Linked DNA regions of Danio rerio. The protein of the gene in region 1 purifies or fractionates together with the protein of each later gene. This does not show direct contact. Links are inferred from orthologs where the notes say so. Each region holds a gene or a part of one and is shown in the gene's direction. Other genes may lie near its edges.

Region 1 (4,767 bases):
TTTATTCATCAGGGGTTGCCACAGCAGAATGAACCGCCAACTTATCCAGCATATGTTTTACGCAGTGGACGCCCTTCCAGCTGCAACCCATCACTGGGAAACACCCATACACACTCATTCACACTCGTACACTAAGGTCAATTTAGCTTACCCAATTCATATGTACTGCATGTCTTTGAACTTGCACTTGTGGGGCAAACTGGAGCATGCAAAACCCATGCGAACACGGAGAGAACATGCAAACTCCACATAGAAATGCCAACTGGCCCATTCACAGCTCAAACCAGCAACCTTCTTGCTGTCAGGCAATCATGCTACCCACTGCGTAGCACCATGACACCCATCAGTGAATGCTTAGGTATTAAATAGTACTAACATTAAATAAACAAATAAATACATAATTTGACTTGAATAAAATCTTCTTTCAGAAGTTACCTAAATTATTCAATTATTATTCACAAATCTGCTTAATACCTCAATCTATTTACCCCAAAGTTAATTAAAAAATAACTCAACAATATTAATAAGCATAATTAGATGCTGTTTACTGTGGTGCACTGAGGTTTATGACAAATATTAAATCCCTCACTCATCCCACAAATCCCACAATCATTTTGTGTTGTTCTCTCAGGTAGGATGGTCTGCTTTGTCCACCCATCGGTTCAAGCATTGGTATATCTTTGTCTATTAATCTATCCTGGGTTTACTCCCCTCATATCTGCAAACGTACATTTGTGAAAGAAAAAAACTGTCTCTATAGCCTTTAGTCTCAGGAATTTAATTTATTGTACCAGTGGTGATATAAGGGGAAAAAAGGCTTTTAAATAGCAACCCTTGCATGAAATAACCTGCAATCAAAGTTGCAGTTGAAAGAGTTGGTTTCTCTACATACCTTGAAAAAGATTTTGAAACACTGGTCTGTAGATGTTCTGACTGATCTGTAATTTTTTTGCTTGTTTTGATGAATGATGTTATCTGTTTTTTTTTTTTTTTGTTAAGCCGAACTGCTTAATTTTGGCCAGGAGGCTCTTGTAAAAGAGACTTTTAATCTCAATGTGCTTTTTCCTGGTAGAATAGAGGCTATGTTAATATATGATGATGATGATCAATAAGGCCTAAATAATTAATTCATTTTTATTTTTTAAATAATGCTAAACATAAATTGGCTAAACAGACTCAGTAAAAATAACTTTTGCTGCTTGTTTAAACTACTTATTTATAATGAGTTGAAACAAGACAGTTCTTAAGTTTTTTGGGGGGACAACTTGATTGGTTTATGTTCAATTCACTTAAATTTGTACAAAAAAATTATATATATATATATATATATATATATATATATATATATATATATATATATATATATATATATATATATATAACATGTAGGATTTGTGTGGAACCCTGCATTTTGCATATATTTTTTATAAAGAATTGAACAAATCTTCTAACAAAAAATAAACAAATCTTCCAGCTTTTTCCCCATGAAACTCTCTCACTGCAGGTTCTGGAGGGTCTCCTCACCCCTCCGCCCCGGCGGCGTGCCTGCGTCACAGAGCCTCCCGCACCGTTATGTCATTAGCATAGGGAGTGGACTATAAAAACCAGCCGAACCTCCGCAGTATCCCCGTTTGGTCTGGACAGGGTGCGATATTTAGACTTCAACAATAACCCGCAAACTAAAGGATTACCATGGCCAGTCGAACAAGCACATCTTCCTATAAAAGGATGTTCGGCGGGGAGCGTCCCGCGGCGGCGCGGTCCACTTTCTCCAGCCGGCAGTACAGCAGCCCAGTGCGCGTCTCCTCCTCGCGCACGTCCTACAACTACAGCAGCGCGCCTCCATCCGTGTACGCGAGTAAAAGCTTGAGAGTGCGCTCCGGCGCGCCCCTTCCCAGACTCGCCACCGACACTCTGGATTTCGGGCTTGCCGAGGCCATAAACACCGAGTTTAAAGCCAACCGGACCAATGAGAAAGCGGAGATGCAGCACCTCAACGACCGGTTCGCCAGTTACATAGACAAAGTGCGCTTTCTGGAGCAGCAGAACAAGATCCTGATCGCGGAGCTGGAGCAGCTGCGGGGCAAAGGAGCGTCCCGGGTCGGAGATCTGTACGAGGATGAGATGCGGGAGCTGCGGAGACAGGTGGATCAGCTGACCGGGGAAAAGAGCAAAGTGGAGGTGGACCGGGACAACCTAGGGGAGGACATCGAGCGCCTCAAGGAGAGGTCTGTTCTGGCACTATTACTGTCTAAAAACTTAGTGTCAAGTGTTAAATAACTTGCAGGCGCACATAATATGTTTTACGTTTTGTTTTTGTTATTTTATGCTAACTTAATGTGCATTTAAAAGGTTAACAGATGAATGTTTGTCTGTTTTTTTGTAACTTTCACTATGTTTTTATACTTAAACAGCCTATAGGTTAGTCATAACTAAATTAAACTTTACTGATAAATATAAATATTATTATTATTATTATAAATATTTATTATTGTGCTTATTGTTCATTGATCCTTTCTGGATCTCAAAAATTTTAGTGAAAAGTTCTTCAAAAACTATTTTAAAACAATTTCATAGCATTTTGAGAATCTTTTTCCACTGTAAAGAAGCTTTTGGGAAATTAAAAGGTTCCATTGAGGTTAAAAGTTCTTTCTTTCGATAAAAGCATTTTTAGGCAAATACAGTGCTCAACATATATAAGTACACCCCTCACAGATCTGTCTTTTAAATTTATATATTTAATAGTAAGCGATACAATATTATATTTGTGCATATAGGGTACATTTAATCAGTACTGAAGCCAAATCTGGAGCTTATCTAACAAAATAACTTATGATAATTAATGAAAAACTAGTACAGCCAAATTTATGTTATAGAAAAATATTAAATACAAATTTAAAAAAGAGGAAAAATCCAGAAAAGCAAAAAAGGGGAAAATTTTGTTGAAATTTTGTAGGTCGTACTTAGTTTTTGCAATATTTTGCTTTAATTTAATTGTTTTATCCATCAATTTTTAACTATGTTTGGTGACTAAAATAATATTTTAATAAATATATCTGTTTAGTAAATCTGTTTTGTTTAAATGCACCAAAATACATCGCCTATACATTCGTAATGCTTAAATTGACATTTGTTAGTATAATCTAACAATGCATTATAAAATGCTTTGTAAAACGTATGACTCGTTTAGAAATACTTCATTTTAAATGTATAGGCAATCTTTTATGTTTGCTATAAAATAAAAAAGTGTTAAGCATAGGCTAGCAATTGTGCAATAGTGTAATCATTATGACAGTATTTCATTAAAATAAAAAATATATATAATAAATATATAATTTAATTTATATAATATATAAAAATGACTTGTTTAATACAGAGATTTAACAATTCTTAAGACATTTCATTAAAATATGATCAGATATACAGTTCATAATGATAAAATCAAATATTTTAAAACAGGAACCATTTTACATAGCATAAATGCTAATATTAAATCATGTTAATGGCTTGAATTTAAAAAAAGCTGACATTTTTAAACAGTGTTCAGTGTCAAATAATAGCATGTTGAATTTCTATTGGCGCAAATCTCTGTTATAAACTTTTTTTTAACATTATCAAGGAAAAAAAACAACATAATTTCTTCATGTTTTGATACAGTAAATTAAAATAAACTGATTACTGATTTCTATCCACTGTGTGATGCTCCACGAGGCTGTTTTTATAGTAAAGGGTGTGGCTCTGCTTAAATATGCATCTCATTTCCAGACTTCAAGAAGAGATGCTTCAAAGAGAAGATGCTGAGAACAGCCTCCGCAGCTTCAGACAGGTACATCCGCTCACATTCACAGTAAAGAAATCACCACAAACAACTATTTGCGCATGCATGGTTGTCATTCTTGAACCTGACGTTTGATCGAGTGCAAACAAAGCCACTATTACGCTGCGATCAGTTAACAGTCGGTCCAGTCAGTGTGTGCAAGACAAGTCTTATTGTGAGCAGTCTGTGCACAATCAAAGGGTCAGCGCAGGCCTGGTCAAGCTGCCCTCTCGGCCAGCATCAGATTTAGACACACACCGCTGAAAACAAAGCTTTGTCTGAGAGCCGGCTGGCTGTTCATGACAAAGCAAACTGTTGTGCGGATGGGAGGAGACGGCGTTAACTAGGGGACATTGGTGACTTATGGAGGACGCAGAGAAGAGGATGTGTGTGTGTCTGTGTATATGCATGTGTTTTAAAGAGTATCTGCCACCCACAGCTGCAGCTGAACAAATTACTGGCAGCGGGCGAGCTATTGTTATTCATTGGTTAAGTTGAATTTACATACAGTCGAAGATGACATTGTTAGCCCTCCAATTCTTTCGCAAAACTTACTTCCAATACTTATCAGAGCAAAGACAATTTCACAGTATTACTATTTCCTATTATATGTTATATTATATGTTATATAATATGTTATATAATATTATATTTATTTTAGTTTCTTCTAGTGACATTTTTACTGTGTATTATAAAAGCATGTGGAGTTTATTTTGGGGTGAATCTTATTAAATAAATTTAAATTCAACTTAACCATAGCGAATTGTGAGCCAAAAAGAAAATGAATAAACGAATGAATGAGTTGAAGTCAGAATTATATTTAAAAGGAAGCTGTACAATATTATATTTGTGCATATATATTAGTTTAGTCAGTACTAAAGCCAAATCTGGAGCTTATCTAACAAAATAATTGATGTTAACGGTCCAAAAACTAGTACATCTAAATTCAT
Region 2 (4,708 bases), on another chromosome or scaffold:
GTTTGTCAAAAGGGGGAGAATAAGATACTGCTCTGTAACATATTTTTCTGATTACTTCAGCAGTGTGAATGTTTATGTCTTTTAAGAATATGATGTGCAGATACTCAATGCAGTAAACTCTGAATATAAAAGAGAATATTATTGATGAATATGTGGTTTAAGCTTGAAAGAGTCAGATAAAATAGGCTTTGCATAAGCCTCTGAATATTGAATCTGGCATCAAAGACGTGCTTTAAAAAATGGATTATCAAACTCACAGACACTGTAGAGATGATAACTTAGCCACTTATGTCTTTTTTTAATGTGTATTATTTGTCTACAGTTTTTGGAGACATTTATAACCATAATCTAACAAGTAATTTTGAATGTATGTTCCGTGAGCGCCATCTAGTGCTCGGAGGGTATTTTTCATTAACACTAGAGGACATGCCAAGTCACGGAAAGTCCAGGCCAATTTAATACGCTATAAAAGGTTTTATACTTGGTAAAGGGTATATCCTACAGACTCTAATTAAAATCTCCTCTTTATATTCCACTGAAATACGTATGAATCACCAGAATTAAAGAGAACAGCTCTGGCCTCTTTATGATAACTGGCACAGCCGATCAGCGCCACAAACGGGTGTTAAATCACAATATAGCTCTCTCTTAATGAAAGATTAATTCAATCTTCTTCTTCTTCTCACTCATTCACATATTCGAGGTCACCAGTCGTCATAAATCAGAAGCTTAATACTCTTTCTTTTCATGCATAAAGGGCAGATTTGTCCAGCGTACACCAACCTCTTCTCCCATATAATGTCCTGACAGGAAGCAGTGATTGATGACACTTTTAATGACTAAGCAACAGAGGGATTTACTGTCCTGTAAATTGTTCATTTAAATCCATTACACCTGAGCAAAGAGTGGCTGTTTCAAAGACATGAATCTTGACACTGATATGAAAACTTAAATTAATCAACGTGTATGACTTATGCTGCATAAATGTAATAAAAAGTGTGTGTGAATGTATAAATCTCTAAAAACTTTTTGTCCTCGTGAAGTAATTTGAATGTTAGCCAGGGAGTCTACATATTAGTATAAATAGCTATAAAATAGCATGTAAATAGCTTAAGCTACAAACTTTACAAAACTATTGCAATAATTTAATTATACACAGTATAATTAGTCTTTAAAACAGCTATATATATATAAAGACCTTATTTCGGTCTACTTTAAGCTATTTTTTTCGATAGTCCACAGAAAAAAAACATCATTATACAATAACTTGCCTACTTACTCTAACCTGCCTAGTTAACCTAATTAATCTAGTTAAGCCTTTAAATGTCACTTTAAGCTGTATAGAAGTGTCTTAATAAAATATCTAGTTAAATATTATACTTACTGTCATCATGGCAAAGATAAAATAAAACATTTATTAGAAATGAGTTATTAAAACTATTATGTTTACAAATGTGTTGAAAAAACACATACTATATATATATATATATATATATATATATATATATATATATATATATATATATATATATATATATATATATATATATATATATATATATATACTGTAGGGCGACTGCAGTCCTGCAAAGTTTCGTTCCAACTATGCTTCAACACACTTAGGTTCCAAACAAATAACTTGCGCTATGCTCTTTGTTTCAAATAAGCCTGAAGGACCCAATTAGTTTGATCAAGTGTATTTTAATTGGGGTTAAAGTTAAACTGTGCAGAGCAGTGGCCCTCCAGGAGTTTGACACCTGCGCCATATAGAAATTAGACACCTGAGTGCTGTTTTCAAAAAAGGGGGCTCTTATTTTGAAAAACCTAAGTTAAATGCTCTTCCTGGTGACGTCGTGCAGTGCCATGACATGAAGCAGCCGAGAATTGTTTTTCTGCAGTTTTCGCTGTCCTGAAACACACACACAGATGGCTATGAGCGGCTGAAGTTAGCAAATACCCAGAACAACTTTAATTGACGCACATTTGAGTGAGTTTATATGATTTAAACCTGTCATTTTGTTTATTCAACACAAACCTGGAGCATGTTGCTGTTGTTGTGTTGTGTTAACAGCACATCTGTCTGTACTGTACGTGTTGTTACAGCATGTCAGACCCTAAAAGAGCTGGCGCTGATGCTGGATCAGTGGTTTCGGACCCTCAGCACTCCCAGAAGCTTCTCAGGGTCCTTCAGTCTTTCAGACAGGACGACTGTTTTCAAGATGCAGTGCTGGTTTTGGAAGGTGAACAGATTCCTGTGCAGAAAAACATTCTGGCTGCTGCTAGTCCGTACATCAGGTATGGGAAAATGCCTGAAACTTGAATAGATTTGCATGAGGTGAGATCAGATGAGTAGCTGCTGCTATGTTTGCTCAGACATGTTGCAGACCCTTGAGCAATGTGTCATATGGGTGTGCCAAACAGCTCCACCTTGCCTGTTGCTTGGGTCACTTAAATTAATAGTTTTCTCAAAAAAGACAGAAGAGTAAAGTAATTTACACGCCCTCATGTTAACCAGCAGCACATACTGTAAAAGGCATACAGAACACAAAAGAAACTGTTTTAATGACTGATCATGGATGAATACTGAAAGGACTCAAAAAGGGCACAAAATTCACATAAAAGTGTTACAAAAATGGTTCATATTATGCAATTTTCACAAGTTCTTAATGCCCTGCTATTTAATTTTAAACTAAATCCACAAGAAAATATGAAAAAAGATGTTATTACCTAATAAGAAAAAAATAGTATATTTTTTAAAACCTATATTATATATTCAAGGCACAATTATTATAAATCAAAGGCTTATATAAGTTCTTAATATTTTAATATTAAATTTTTAAACTAAATCCTTAAGAAAAGCTATTTCATTACTTGCTTTAAAAGTTAAAATAGTATCATTTATTTCTTAAAAAGCTATTATATATATATCATACTCATAATAAATAGCTAAGTAACTAAAATAATTAGCTAAGTAAATATATTATTTTGTGCATTGACAATGAATGGTTACTGAAAGGCCTCAAAAAGGCCACAAAACTCACATAAATAATTACAAAAATTTTATATTACTCTATTTTCACAAGTTCTTAATGTTCTGCTGTTTAATTTTAAACTGAATCATTAAGAAAAGTGATTTTATTATTAAATAAGATGAAATTGTATCATTTATTTAAATGTTATGCAATGTTATATATTCAAGGCACAATTATTATAAATTCAAGGCATTTGTCATTCTCAAGTTCATTTAAGTACTAAAATGTTAAGCTAGGCAAATAGTTACACCATTAAAACAGCGTTGTCTTAAATTTCTAAGTTAAATTATATTAACCTTATAAGGGATTTGACCTAAAATTAAACTGGCTTAAAATGGCTTTTATATTGATCTAAAAGATTAAGTTAGAATTGTGATTAATGTGTTTTATTAAGTTATAATTAACATGAAAACATTCATTATCATGACTTATTGATCATTTAATTTTTAGTGTATGTAAACAAAAAGAAAAAAGACTATAAATTTTATTAGATATAAGAAAATTGCTAAAACCTGGACTACAATTAAAATGAAAGCAGAACATATAAATAGAAAAACTTAATCTTATAAAATCATATAAAAATATTTCTGTGAAAAAATTTCAAAACTTCTGAGTTACCACTACTAAACAAAATGAAGTTACTTCTACTCTCCCGTCTTTTTCAAAATTGTTGCTGTTGACATTTGTTTTTAAAAGTTGTAATTATGTAGTAAGTCATATCTATAATTATCATAATCCAAATTGTCTTGCATGGATGAGAGCAATAAAAGGACGCTGTGGGAATTGGTACACTGTATCAATGTCCCTTTTTCCTTATTGGTTGCAATTCACTAGAGAGTTATTAATTCTGTTACAAAAGTAGTTTTTGTCACTGTTGTGCACAAAAGAATATAAGAAAATAAAAACAGTCCACAATATGTTACTGAAAAAATAGTTAGATAGATTTATTAATATGAGTGAGTGGGCAGGATGCGTTACATATAATTTTGTAGAAACTACCCTTCCTCATTTTAGACAAAAGTTTTAAATAAAAATATTTACACCTGTTTTGGCATTATTTCAGTGACTTTTTTTTCTGACCTCGTATATCACTTTTTGTTTTTAAATAAGTTTAACCAAAAAAATAAAACGTATACACATCTCTCTTTTAAATTAATATGTTCTAAAGGATGATATACAATATACTTGTGGATGTACATTAGATTAGGCCAAATCTGAAGCTAATCTAACAAATAAATTAAGATAAGAGTCCAAAAAAATTACTAGCCCAATTTAATATTCTTTTTTTTTGCTGCTTACATAATGTTGCATTCAGCAATTAATACATTTACAAGAAGCTGAAAAATCACAAATGTCAAAACTTATCCAGTGCCCCACAATCCACTCAGACCCCAAAGGGTTAACATGAAAAACCTGACCGGAAAACAGGTTTTTCCTCTCAAATAATAAAAAAAAAAACCTTTACAAATGTAGTGTAGAGCCTTTTATTTATCAGATCTCCAAGATTTATAGTAAGCCATTGTATTAGATCCACAGTGAATGCAAACTCATGTTACTTTGTGTTACTGTGTTTCCAGGACCAAATTAAATTACAACCCACCAAAGGAGGATGGATCTGTATACAAAATCGAGTTGCAGGGGATTGCAGTGACCACCATGAGGCAGATATTAGACTA
Region 3 (4,682 bases), on another chromosome or scaffold:
AATCACATTGCAGTCATATGGCCAAAACATCCAAGGTCATACAAATCCTAATTAATTAAATAATAATGATGATGATGATGATGATGATAATAATAATAATAATAATAATAATCTTTCTTTTTGGAAGGTTTCATGAACCCGTGTTCTGTATCTTGTTATGCATAATGTAGTAAGAGCTTCTTTATGCTGTCTCACTGTTGGAGACTGCATGTTGTAGCCTTGTTTTAGAAAGGAGCTATATAAAAGAAACTTCTTCATCTTCTTAATGTTATTGATAATGATAATAATAATAATTATTATTATTATTGTTGTTGTTGTTATATCAATAAATGTGGATAAATCAAAGTTAATGTATGTGTAGATAAATAAAAATAAGGATATTAATATTTGTATATAATAATAATTATTACTACTAGTACTAGGCATATAATCATTATTACTCTAATATTGCTGCTGTTGCTGTTTTAATATAATATACATATCAATGAACAATAATGCATTTACAATTTAATTAATATTTGTTATAACATTGTTACTAAACTACTAATACTAGATTGTCATCATGTACATTAAACATTTGTAATCTCTATATACAGACATACACACATACATATGTGTGTGTGTGTGTGTGTGTGTGTGTGTGTGTGTGTATGTATGTATGTATGTATATATATATATATATATATATATATATACATATATATATATATATATATATATATATGTGTGTGTGTGTGTGTGTGTATATGTATATATATATATATATATATATATATATATATATATATATATATATATATATATATATATATATATATATATATATATAATGAGGTTGTGGTGAGTAAAATGGTTATATATGGTAAGAAAAATCTGAAAAAAAAACGGATGCATTAAGCATTGGCAAATTGTTGTTTCCTTATTATAAACAACGTAAGTTTGGTAGTGTAATGTTTCCTAGAGGTTTAAGCTTAAAATTTGATCAGTATACATTTGACAAACATTTCCTAAGGAAATGGCGACTGCTACTTCATTCATGATGACGCAGCACTTTGTTTAGCACCTGTAGCAGAAACACAACACCTCTTACCAACCACATCAAACTTGCAGGGCTTAGTAGAGCTTGTATTATGAGAAACTGGATTTCAAACAAAGCAACCAAGTTTATCTTGTACTAAAACAAAAATATTACCACACATTTGTATATGTAGGCATTTAAAAAAATGGATGTGGGTAATGTTTAACAGTGAGACTGTTACAGTATAGCAGAAGAACTTTTGTTTGATATTCACTTCTTAAAACAACTAAAATTAAGCCAAATAAATCTACAATTTGTATAAAGTATTACATGACATCCAGAACATGTATGTTTATAGCCCTTGAATATAACACTGCGTTTTTTGGCATTAATCCACTCCTATGATTTCAGCGGGAATTTCCCCTATCATATTGCCATGTCATTCCTCGGATCACCGAAAATCGTCCATTCTGTTTTCAAATGTGACTCACATGATCACAGACAACATGAACTCCGTCCTGCAATGACGCTGGACGTGGACATCTTTCTGCGAAGACACGCCCCCAAACTTGCGCTCCTCTCAACGATTGGCCGGCTCCTCGGCTGCATTAGCATTTGACGTACAAGGCTTATATACAGCACTGTCGGCTGAAGTAGGAAACGCATTTTCACGCAGCCAACGCAGAGTCCCGTGCTCGAGAAACGCATTTTCTACTGCGCAACACTTCCAGAGGTTCAGGGAGAGAAGCTATTTTCCGCTACGATGTCGATGACAGTGAAAGCTTACCTTATCGGTAAGGAGGACTGCAACAAGGAGATCCGTCGCTTCGCCGTGGATCAAGATGTCTCAACAAGTTTCGAGTATTTGCAGCGAAAAGTGCTCGATGTTTTTGTCGGTCTCAGGACTGCGCCCTTCCAAATGTACTATAAAGGTGAGTCAAATTTGAATTCTGAAATGTTTTTTTTTAATAACACTGATTTATTGCACAAGCAAGTGTGTGTTTGTGTCGTCTTTCAATGTTTTACTTGAAATGGCGGTTTATATTTATCTACGTTACTTGAAGTTTTAATAAAATTTCACGAAGCGATATTAGAAATAAAAAACTTGAGGAAAACGCACATAAATGTACATATTGAGAAACATAGTTTGCAGATTTTTATGTCTTTCTATGTTCAGTATTACTGAGCCATTAAAATGGATACTGCATTGTGAAACATCTTTGTTTATTGTTACATCCAAGTACAAAGTTTGATGGGGAACGTTTGTACTAGGCCGTAATAAACAAGCCATGAGCATAATATTTGAAATCCACTGTGCTTACTGAAAAGAAAACAGCAAAAACTTTTGTTATTGTTGTGTGTGGTAATCAACTTTTAATCAGACAAAACATGATGACAATCATAATAACCAGCAGAAATGCCATTCTGTTTTCCTGAACTTTGTCTCTAGATGAAGATGGTGATATGATTGCCTTTTCCTCTGACGATGAGCTAATGATGGGTTTGGCTCTTGTGAAGGATGACACTTTCCGTCTCTTCATCAAGCGTAAGTAACATACACAAACTATAACTACCATTTTAGGAAGGGGTTTCGATTATTTAAGAATATTATGTTATACCTGTAAATATAATTTCCTGCACATATTAAATGATCATTAGACTTAAAGGGATGGTTTAATCAACAATGAAAATGTACTCGCCCACTGAAGTAGTTATAGAATTTCTACATTTTGAAAAAAAAAAAATATATAAGTGCTGTCTGGAATTTCTCAGCCTCTTTTATGTTGAGAATAGTTTCTATAAAAGTGAAATTGCTGAACATACACACAGGAGCCTAATAAAAAATGCTAATTTTAGAGGAAGCTGAAAACCAGTAACCATTGATTTCCATAGTAGGAAAAACCATTTTTTTCTTTAGCTGAAGGGGGAAAAAAGTCAAGGAAGGGTGAATTTTTTTTGGGATGAACCATGTCTTGAATTTGCTTTTGGAATGTATCTGTTGCAACTTTTTATTACTCGCCGCAAACAAACTTTAGTTTGAGTTTAGCATGTTAGATGGTAATTTTAATATCTATGTTTGTTAAAAATAAATATCAAAAAACAAAACGACTGTGTTAAAGGTAGCAGTTAGGCTAGCAATACCTCATAAGGGTCAAAGACGTGGTTTTCATTTCTTTTTCCAGATCTATGAAGTCACTAAAATACTTTAGAAGTTCGCATAGACCGTGGCTTCAGTGTGTGTTTGTCAGGGCTGCATGATGTTAGGGGGAAAATAATCGAATCTAAAATAATCCTGTATAGTATTTATTCTATAAATAAAATACTGTTAACCTTTAATATTTTATTCAACCTAAATTCTGTAAATATGCCTATATTGTTTACAGAGTAACAGGCCTTAAAATCCCATGCAAATTATAAACTTTCACTCGTGATTGTCACGGTTTACAATTAATTCACACATTGTATTTGTTTTGTGATGCCTTTGCTACCGCCTTACTTTAAATCCTGCAGTTTGACTATCGTGAATGTACACACAGTGAAGTGTCAATAATGTGTGGGTGGTGCAACTCTTTGGGACTTTAAGTGTAAATGTAAGCCTAAATAGAATCTACAAATCCATTTTGTTGTCACAAGGAAACCATAAACGGGAATATCAGAGCGAACCTAACAAACAATCATATTTGGCTGCATCCAAAATCACATACTCTCTGTAGGTGGTGCTTTTAATAACTAGCTTCAGGCGTGTTCTATATAGTATGAATGCAATCTGCACCGACTGCATTCACATTATATTTGTGAAGTGACGTAAAGTTACAAAAGACATCTACCAGTTGTGTTGCTCCGCTGCCATTCTCAAAACATTTCCATGATCTCATGGGAAGGTAAATTTTTCCATCTGATGCATTCTTTGGAATATTACTAGATACAGCGAATTCTGGCATGCTACTTTTTGAATGCATCCAAGTTAGTAGGCTTTGAAAACATTGTTGTTGCGTTATGAAGACTAGATTAACTCAGAGCAGTTGGAGTAATTGTATTTGTAATATCAAAGTGTATTCTTCATCCTTAACTTCCATGTGTAAGCGTTCTCTTATTCTCAAGCTGCTGAGACAAACTTACTTAGGAATAGAGAGAAGTCATGAGCTAAGAGCAAAAGGCGTAGTCAACCTTGTTGCTCTGGATGACGTCAGCATCTTTAATAACTATGCAAACAGTGATTGGTTGATGGGGAGTCTATCAGAGATTGATTCAATAAAACTTTGTAGAGAACAATATTTCGTTGCCCTATTCAAATAGGGGGGGGGGGGGTAAATATTTTTGAAAACCTTTTTCTTTCCATAAGGGAATACTAGTGAGGATCTTTTGTGAAGATTTTGATTGGTTCTTGGATTCACTCTTGTTATTTGAGTACTAGAATACTATAAAACTAAAACACCTGCCACTTACATGTGCACAGTTTATAAGGTTGGAAAGATTACATGATTGGAAAGAGCGTCTAATGATGACATTAGATTTAAAGAGTGTGAATACTTTTTCATCTTGGATTCATCATTACGTACTTTGACCATACAAGCCTTTGAATATCTCAGATCTTTTGCAAATAGACATCTTCAATTAATAGCAATTATGTTATTTCCTTCTTTTTCAGAACGAAAAGAGCACA
Region 4 (4,061 bases), on another chromosome or scaffold:
TACATTTTAGAAAACATTTATACTATTTTGGGACAATAAACATGTCAGACTACATAATTAAAATAAACTATTGACTTCTGCTGTCTTCATTAGTTTCAAAAACACAGATTTCCTTACAACACAAAAAGAAAAAACTTCACATATACCTTAGAAATGGTGTAACAAGCAGTTTTAATACCTTGACTTTTTCAAACTGCAGTAAACCTTGAAACCGGTTATCGTTCTATGCCTAATTGAGAAAGACGTTTGCGACAACGGAGGTGCGTAATGTTTGATCGTCACATGATTCATGAACTTCAAATCGTTCCAGGAAGTGTTTTGCGGTTTATTCAAATAATATTAAATGATGTTAAATCTTACACATTATCAAACTTATTTTTGCAAAACGTCGTGCTTTTCAAAGGTGCATCACCTGTTTGTAAGTGCTAATTTCTGGGAATTATTGAGAGTCTCTCCACAAGCTCTCGCAATTTTCTCTTTGGCTCTGGTTTCAGCCTCCTTTTTTCCTTTTTTATTGCATAACAAGAACAATAGCATACAAAAATATGATAAATACAATGCTTACATTTTCACATCAAAGGAACAAATCAGTAAAGAATAATAAAAAAAATAAATAAAATTACAGGGGATATATAAATTACAAAAAAATTGAAAAAGAGAAAATGATTCCAAAATTGCGTACATCCTTATAGCTTTTTCATTTTTAATGTCTTTTAGGGTTTCAATATAATGCTTAAGATCAATTTTAAACAAATAAATATTAGGTTTGTCGTTGGACCATTTTTGTTTTTGCACATGGTACTTCCCATATATAATCATTAAATTAATAAACAAATTTTGCTCAAATTTTATTGTTATTAATATTGTACATCAAAAAAAAAAATCTTTACAAGAAAACTGTATATGTGCATTCAAAAAACAGGTGTTTAATCGATTCTTCCTCTAATTCACAAAAAGTGCATAAAGATTCCATGTCATTAAAAAAGATTTTAACAACTTGTTTCACTTGACAAATTAAATGAATTAGTTTATGTCACTTCCTAAACTTTATTGGTGAGACAGTATTTACTAGGTAAATTCCATTCCTTTTTCCCTTTTCTTAGGAGGAACTGTATGGTATGACAACTCTCAGCCTTGTCATCCACGGTTACATCAAACTCATGTGCGCCCCCTGTTGGAAGGAGGACAGCTGGTGAAGTCTCTCCGACCCCTCACTCATTCCCTCAGAGCCATTAAGAGCCCAGCAGAGGTTGCACTGATGAAAGAGGCAGGACGGATCACTGCTCAGGTAGTGAATCCATAATAGTACTGTACGTCTTGGAAAAAATACTTTAAAGGGGTCATAGTGCATAATTTAGCCATTTGAGATTGAAAAGGATTTGCAAAATGACAATTTTCTTCAGTGGGAATTATTCTGTACATTAGTAACCACTAGGGTTGTCAAAAGTGTTGACTTCGGTATTAATCGCTACTGATGTTTTAAAGATTTCCATTTTCCTTGAACATTTGAGCACATTTTTAAACTGCTAACTGCCCATTGTGTTCATGTGGTCACCAGATATGACTGTTTGGCTCTGAAGATCATTGCTTCACCGTTGTTCACTAATGGCCCATTTCCACTGAGTGGTACAGTTTGATACGGGTCGGTACGAATCACTTTTATCAGGCTTGCGGTTCCACTGCCAAAAGGGTACCAATTTTGGTGGGCGTAGTGTATGCCAGAAAGTTTCAGTCGACGTCATTCTCACTTAAGCTAAATGTCAAACTAAAGCTTTACGGGTCGTTTACATATCATATGAGAAGCACTTCTCACAAGATGCTTTATACACAAAAAATACTTGTGTATAAATGTTTATTACTAACCTAATGAACGTAATTTGATTAGAACTGCGGATCAATTACAGTGCGAAATAGCCTACTGCAACGTCTGCAATTATATAAAATAAATAAATAAATTTAACATTTATGAACACACAGACCCTTACAGTCTCAGATATGTTACCAATTACAGAAAAACTACACAACGCATACATTTAGTTTTTATTTGGGTTCAAAAACAACACACAACATATAGCCCACAGTCAGTGCAAACCTCTCATCTGTATATTCAATCTTTACCAGCACATGTAACCTCTGTTAAAAAATAATTCCGTCATTCCCGAGTTCATAATAGTCTAAAAGGTGATGATAATAGTTAAACATGGCAGTTATTTGCTCCTTTGTTTTTCTGGATTCTCCTTTGTTTTTTCGCGAGTCACTCTCGCGTTTGTCCGTTTCTGAAAGGATCGGATGTCAGAAGCACTTTATTAATAACACACACACGCTATTATCATCAGCTCAAGAAGTTCATTATGTTTAAATATAGACGCATAAAAAGTGGTGTGGTACGGTTCGCTTTTAGGTTCATTTTGACTGTGGAAATGGCCATAAAAGCGTACCATACCATAACACTCAGTAGAAATGGGCCATAAGCGCAAACAAATAATAGTTGAAACCTAGAGCTTTTGAAAACAGTGTCTATCTTGATCTGTCTATGATCGTTCAGCTGATATATTTTTGAAAATTTTAGTATCAATTGGTATGATTGTAATCAATATTTCTGCCAACCCTAGTAGTGAAAAGTTTCTGAAGGGTGAGGCTTTTTTGAATTGTGTTAGTAGCATGTTGTTGGCTGTTTGAGACATATAATATACTGATACGCTCAGTTTCTTCAAGAAATGTTTACATTCACTGACATAAACAGCATTATGAAAACTTTTTGTGTGCTTTTTACATTAGCTGTAATACTTGCGTGACCTTGCTAACTGATGTGATTGCACTTAAAAGTCTGTGAGCTGAGTAAACCTAAGATCAGATTGGTTTAGAGAGACTAGTTCAAGGTTAAAAATTTAGTTGTGTTTATCCTCAGGCATTTAAAAAGACAATGGCTATGTCAAGAGGAAACATTGATGAGGCTGTTCTCTATGCAAAGGTGAGTAAAGGGACTAAATACAGTCTTTAAATTCATGGTTATGCAGTAGAGATTGTAATATTTTTAAAAAATAATTAATGCTTTAATGGTCTTAAGAAGTTTATTTTTATTTTTGTACTAAGTTTCTTATGTCTATCAAACTTCACCTGTATAAAATATATTTAAAATTTTTATAATAACCGTCAATTATTAATTTTTCTCTAAGTTGATACATTTTAAATTGTATTTATTCCTGCTGTTTTGTTGCTTCTTCTCAGTCACTTTTTAACTAGCATAATGTTATAGCAGTCTTTCTTATGTTTTGATCGTTCCACATATCTGGCATAATACTGTACAGTTTGGCATGAACACTAACATTTTCAGAAGTGTACTTTCAAATATTTAACACAATGTGGCATAACAAATAAAACATCCAGTCAAATATAAATCCAGAGTTTGTTGCTAGGACCAAAGTTCCTTAAAACACAATCATTTATTAAACAATACAACAGGAGAAAAGAAAAACTAAAGTTTCAGCTATGAGCCTTCATCAGTGTAATGATTCATTATTGTTTGATGCTTATATACTCAGTCATCATGTCAGGAGTTCACAATCAGTTGACCAGCAGATTCATTTTAGTCTCATTAGGATCACTGCACAGAATTAGAATGGAAAAAGTTATATATCAGGAAGAAAGAAGGAAAAAAAAAGAGAAAAAATTATAAATTGAGCATGGACCATCTTTGCTGCTTGTCTTATAACAATGAAAAAAAAATTGTTAATCTTACTTCTGAACAATTCTTTTTGTAATGTAGCTGTATATGGTTGTAAGAACCAAAATTTCTGGTTTGGATATTTCAGAAAAAAAAAACAATCTGTTGGGATTTTCACGCACCGTCATGCCAGAAAATGATTATTACAGAGTGGTCACATTGCTTTTTGGTGTCAGAGGACAAAAAACAGATTCAAACGAATAGAAAGGCAACGGAAACTCAAATCACCACTCGTGAGATCCAAAGTCTGCAAAAGAGTATTTCTGAATTCTCACACCATGTGAATGTTTATAGCAGAGGAGCAGCAGCAGAAGAAGAAGAGCACACCAGTGACAGA
Region 5 (4,602 bases), on another chromosome or scaffold:
AGTGTTTCTGGAGATCACAATATTACTAGAGTATAAATACAGCACTACAACATACAAAAAAGAAAGATCGACTTAGAAAGTCATTTACCTGTTTAATAAGGATTTGATTGGCTGTAGTTTGAAATTATGCAGTTTTTCTCTTAGGGCTTATTATGCGGTCTCTGTCGTCATCTTGGGGAAGAACATTGTCAACCGTCTTTCCTCAGTAGGACAAGCTAAGGGCCACCGATGCGCTGTCTCTCATAAAAAAATATTTAAAAATAGGCACTATCTTTATAAATAAACTGCATTTGCAATCTAAACAATTACATTCTCGACTAAAAAAAGCCTCAAAAGTACATTAGTGTATGTTATCCAACAGCAGCAATATTTGTTAAGTGTCCTCTGCTTCTGCTGTATGTGGGTGGAGTAATACACACGGGTGAAGGGTGAAGAGGTGGTACGAGTGCTGTTACTGACAGAATATCGCACAGCTATCAGCCAATCAGATTCAAGAACCAGACAGAACTGTTGTTTAAATTATTATAAAATATATATTATTGTACAATAATTTATATACTAAATAAACTTTGGAAGGAATATTTAAAACAATAATCTTTTATTTAAAAAGCACAGCGCAGCCCCCAAATACTCTAATTTTAAATCTTCAAACATTTATACGTTTTATACATTATTATACATGTTTTGCCTATATGTTAGCAAGATGTTTTTAATTATCTAAAATATGTATTGTTTTAGAACAATCACTTTTTTATATGTATATCTTTCATATGCAAGTACATGTATGTTTTTTAATTCATACACAAACATATCTATTACAGACTTATACGATGGAATGATGTGATCAATTTTATTTTCACAAAGCTTTTTTGAAACAAATTTGAAAATTTTATTTGATTTAGATGCAAAAACTTTTGATCAACGTACGTTGTTTTTTTACTTTACATTTCACATTTGTCATAATATATCTTCGATTAAATATTTAAAGTTATCACATCACCAGTTAACATGTTTGTTGAAACTAGCTGCCTCCCTAACTTAACTAATCTGTAATACATAAATTTAGATCAGACATCTATTTAAAGCAGCTGAGATAATGAGCAGGCATTGGCAGGGAAATTCGGTGCGGTGGACTCTACTAAACAAACACAAGCTACTTATATCTCACTGTCTAAAATGACTTTCTTGGAGCTTTAAATTTCCACTTAATTTTAATTCTGCTTGAGATCCAGGCTTTCAGGTCATTTCTGAATGTAGGTCAGTGCCGTTTAGGAAACCACAAAAAGCAACTTTTCCCCATTGGTTATCGTAGCATGCCAGTCTTGTGCGACTGACCTGCTTGAATTATTACATTTACATTACATTTACATTTAGTCATTTAGCAGACGCTTTTATCCAAAGCGACTTACAAATGAGGACAAGGAAGCAATTTACACAACTAAGAGCAACAATGAATAAGTACTAAAGGCAAGTTTCAGGTCTGTAAAGTCTAAGAAGGGAAGTGTTAGTAGTAGTTTTTTTTATTTTTTTTATTTTTTTTATTTTTTTTTATTTTTTTTTATTTTATTTTATTTTTTTATTTTATTTTTTTTTATTTTTTTTTATATTTATTTTTTTATTTTTTTTATTATTATTTTTTTATTTTTTATTATGCTGTCTCATGCAAACCCTACACTCGCCACCCATTGGACACTGACCTTGATAATTTGTTATAATATGTTTGTTATCTGCTGTCCTATTGGCTCCAGTGTTTAGGTTGCCTCCCAGAGGACCTCATGATTGCTGATTAGCTGGAGTTGGTGCCCGCGCTGTACAAGCTCATATTTCTTCCTCCTTGTGTTTATTAATAAATATAAACAGATTAAACGTTGCCTGGGCGATCTGTGGCATATGTTTAAACTCGGTCAGAGAGGGGCCAGACTACCTCCGTCCTATTTTGAGCTTCAGTTTGGTTACCAGCTCTTCAGTTTGGGTTCATTCCATGGTTATTGTCCTGGAACCTTGTTTTCTGGGTTGAGGTGAGTTGATAAATTTTTATAACAGCTATTTCTCAAAGGTTTTTGATTTCTGAATGTTTACATTGGCAGATTATCGCAGCTCTAGCTATCACTTCCTACTCATTGCAGTGTCTCTGTAGGTTTTCTTTCACACTTTGTTTCTATTCTTGCTGATGGTTTCAAAGTTGGAAAAGCTGGAGGAAACATTTTAATTGAAGTTAATAATCACTTTAAAACAACATATATGATACTAATATGTCTGCATGAGTAAACATGTTGAAGGAATGAGCAGTTGTCCATGTATGATGGAGGTTTTGAGTTCATTAGCACGGCTGGAATGTGCTCTGTCTGTTCCTGCTGCCAGTTTCAGCAGCAGCTGCTCTCTGTGCCCTATCAAGACTAGTGCAAGAAATACCAGCTCAGATCAGAAGATAAAAAATTTGTATAAATAGTTTGTTTTTCAGAAACGTATACAAAACTAATTACACAAAACTAATTACAACCTAAAATCAGAAAAAGTTGGGACAGTATGGAAATGCAAATAAAGGAAAAGTGATTTCTAAATTTACTATGATTTCTATTTCATTGCAGACAATACAACAAACAAAATTTACTGTGTTCCTCATGATTTTTATTGATTTTTTATTTAAATTTTTTTGTGAATAAACATTTATTTTAATTTTGGTTCTTGCAACACATTTTTAAAAAAAAGTTGGAACAGTAAAGCATTTACCACTTTGTAATGTTGCCATTCCTTTTCACAACACTTAAAAGACGTTTAGGGACTGAAGGTGTAATTTTGTCCCATTTTTTCTGCAAACAAGTCTTAAGGTGTGCAACAGTATGGGGACCTGTGCTTCAAAATGTGTCACACATTCTCTATCAGAAACAGGTCGGGACTGCAGGCAGGCTAGTCAAGTACCTGTAACCTCTTCCTCCGCTGCCAGAACTTTATAATGTGTGCAGAATGTGGTGTTACATGGTCTTGTTAAAATATGCATGGGCGTCTCTGGAAAACAAGGCTGCATACAGTGCTCCAAAATCTATATGTACTTTTCCGCATTAATGGTGGCATCACAGAAATTTCATCGCAAAGGTCACTGACACAACCCAATACCAAGAAAAACCCTGGCTTTTGATGGCTGGTAACAATCTGAATTATCATTTTCTTCTTTGATTTAGAGCACATGGCATCTATTTCTCTAAAAAAACTGAAATACTGATTTATCTGACCCCAGTACACGTTTACATTGTGTAATGGTGACTACTAGCCCTACATTGCTCCTGTCGCAATATTTTGTGGAATGTGTTGCATGTCTGAATGACAGGAAAGGATCTATATTTACAAATGAAATTAAGCAGATAAAACATGAAATATTTTGTGTTTATATTGTCTGCAATGAAATACAAGTCAAAGTAAATTTGGAAATCACAAATTTTTTTTTAATTTGCGTTTTCCACACTGTCCCAACCTTTTCTGATTTTGGGTTGTACAAAGAAACAACATAAAATAAAATTATGCACTAAAATAACATTTGGTAACACTTTATTTTGATGGTCCATTTGAATATTAGTAGACTGTCTGCTTAATATTAGTTGATGCTGCTCCTTCAACAGACATTTAACTGACTATAAGAAACTTTGCAAGTACATGTCAACTTACACTAAGTCTAACCCTAACCCCAACCAAACAGTCTACTTATAATCTAAAGAGAATTAGTTGGCATGTAGAAGCTATGTAACTTAAATTCAACAAACTGACCATCAAAAAAAACTGTCCTAACATACTCGAATAGTCCTTTTTGTGTTACTTCTGTAAGGTTCTTATGGCTTTTCCAAAGTTAAATTTAAGCACTTTCCATTTTTCAGAATTTTCAAGCATGGCAGATTACATACATACATATAGATATTTATTAAAATTTCAGAAGGCACAGATAAAAAAAGACAAACAATTCACTCTGCAAGCACTTGCACATACTCAAGAGTTTTCATTTTATGCTAAAGCAAAGATATTTATTTTATTTAAATAGTTAATTATTGTTACCTATAAAGTAAGATAAATTACAACGAAAGAAACACAATTGCATTTCCAAGCAGTTTCATGCACTTTATCAAAAATCTATCCACTTTTCAAAACTTGAAAAACTTATATATTTAAGTTGGAAAACTTAAAACTATAATTCAAGCATTTTCAAGGATTTCCTGCACCCATGAGAATCCTGAAAATTTACATCTCTCGCCCACTTCATGATGTTAATCACAGCTTTTTTGTTCAAATGCTATTCATACTGTTAAGTGTGTTCATGATCAGTCAGCTGTTTGACAAGTTTATGCAGCTGTCCCTCAATGACGCATTAGCTTCAGATTTCCTATCACCATCTTTTGCATTACTCAGAAATAACACAAGGCACACTGTACATGCTCTTAGTCTAAAATGAACTCAATCACCAACCCCAAGAATGCGTTATAAATAGACCTAATCACTAACAACAAGAATGTTGTTAACGCAGATCAATGCTTTGCACTTTGTTACATTAAACAGGTTTCACGTATTGTTCAGCTTGTAGGGCAACACGTAATATGGAGGATCAAGAAATGAACTGTG

What was found.
Region 2: the proteins of vim (region 1) and gan purify together in Homo sapiens (affinity purification with mass spectrometry; 3 studies listed by BioGRID and IntAct, counting the BioPlex papers as one, with this or other methods). This does not show direct contact. The link is inferred for Danio rerio from reciprocal best matches to the Homo sapiens genes VIM and GAN.
Region 3: the proteins of vim (region 1) and sqstm1 purify together in Homo sapiens (affinity purification with western blotting; 3 studies listed by BioGRID and IntAct, with this or other methods). This does not show direct contact. The link is inferred for Danio rerio from reciprocal best matches to the Homo sapiens genes VIM and SQSTM1.
Region 4: the proteins of vim (region 1) and xpnpep3 purify together in Homo sapiens (affinity purification with mass spectrometry; 3 studies listed by BioGRID and IntAct, with this or other methods). This does not show direct contact. The link is inferred for Danio rerio from reciprocal best matches to the Homo sapiens genes VIM and XPNPEP3.
Region 5: the proteins of vim (region 1) and sync purify together in Homo sapiens (affinity purification with mass spectrometry; 3 studies listed by BioGRID and IntAct, counting the BioPlex papers as one, with this or other methods). This does not show direct contact. The link is inferred for Danio rerio from reciprocal best matches to the Homo sapiens genes VIM and SYNC.

The regions. Positions count from the first base shown.
Region 1 is NC_133199.1:36,348,303-36,353,069, forward strand, and holds the start of vim (vimentin), read left to right. Parts: upstream 1-1,625; 5' UTR 1,626-1,692; coding exon 1,693-2,228; intron 2,229-3,765; coding exon 3,766-3,826; intron 3,827-4,767. UniProt on the Homo sapiens protein: Vimentins are class-III intermediate filaments found in various non-epithelial cells, especially mesenchymal cells. Vimentin is attached to the nucleus, endoplasmic reticulum, and mitochondria, either laterally or terminally.
Region 2 is NC_133193.1:14,688,868-14,693,575, reverse strand, and holds the start of gan (gigaxonin), read left to right. Parts: upstream 1-1,844; 5' UTR 1,845-1,987; intron 1,988-2,035; exon of another isoform or gene 2,036-2,103; 5' UTR 2,104-2,104; coding exon 2,105-2,295; exon of another isoform or gene 2,296-2,404; intron 2,405-4,609; coding exon 4,610-4,708. UniProt on the Homo sapiens protein: Probable cytoskeletal component that directly or indirectly plays an important role in neurofilament architecture.
Region 3 is NC_133189.1:19,139,997-19,144,678, forward strand, and holds the start of sqstm1 (sequestosome-1), read left to right. Parts: upstream 1-1,651; 5' UTR 1,652-1,781; coding exon 1,782-1,950; intron 1,951-2,225; exon of another isoform or gene 2,226-2,468; coding exon 2,469-2,564; exon of another isoform or gene 2,565-4,667; coding exon 4,668-4,682. UniProt on the Homo sapiens protein: Molecular adapter required for selective macroautophagy (aggrephagy) by acting as a bridge between polyubiquitinated proteins and autophagosomes.
Region 4 is NC_133178.1:23,820,143-23,824,203, reverse strand, and holds part of xpnpep3 (xaa-Pro aminopeptidase 3), read left to right. Parts: intron 1-1,103; coding exon 1,104-1,288; intron 1,289-2,908; coding exon 2,909-2,971; intron 2,972-4,061. UniProt on the Homo sapiens protein: Catalyzes the removal of a penultimate prolyl residue from the N-termini of peptides, such as Leu-Pro-Ala. Also shows low activity towards peptides with Ala or Ser at the P1 position.
Region 5 is NC_133194.1:33,456,565-33,461,166, forward strand, and holds the start of sync (syncoilin), read left to right. Parts: upstream 1-1,729; 5' UTR 1,730-2,018; intron 2,019-4,539; exon of another isoform or gene 4,540-4,557; 5' UTR 4,558-4,577; coding exon 4,578-4,602.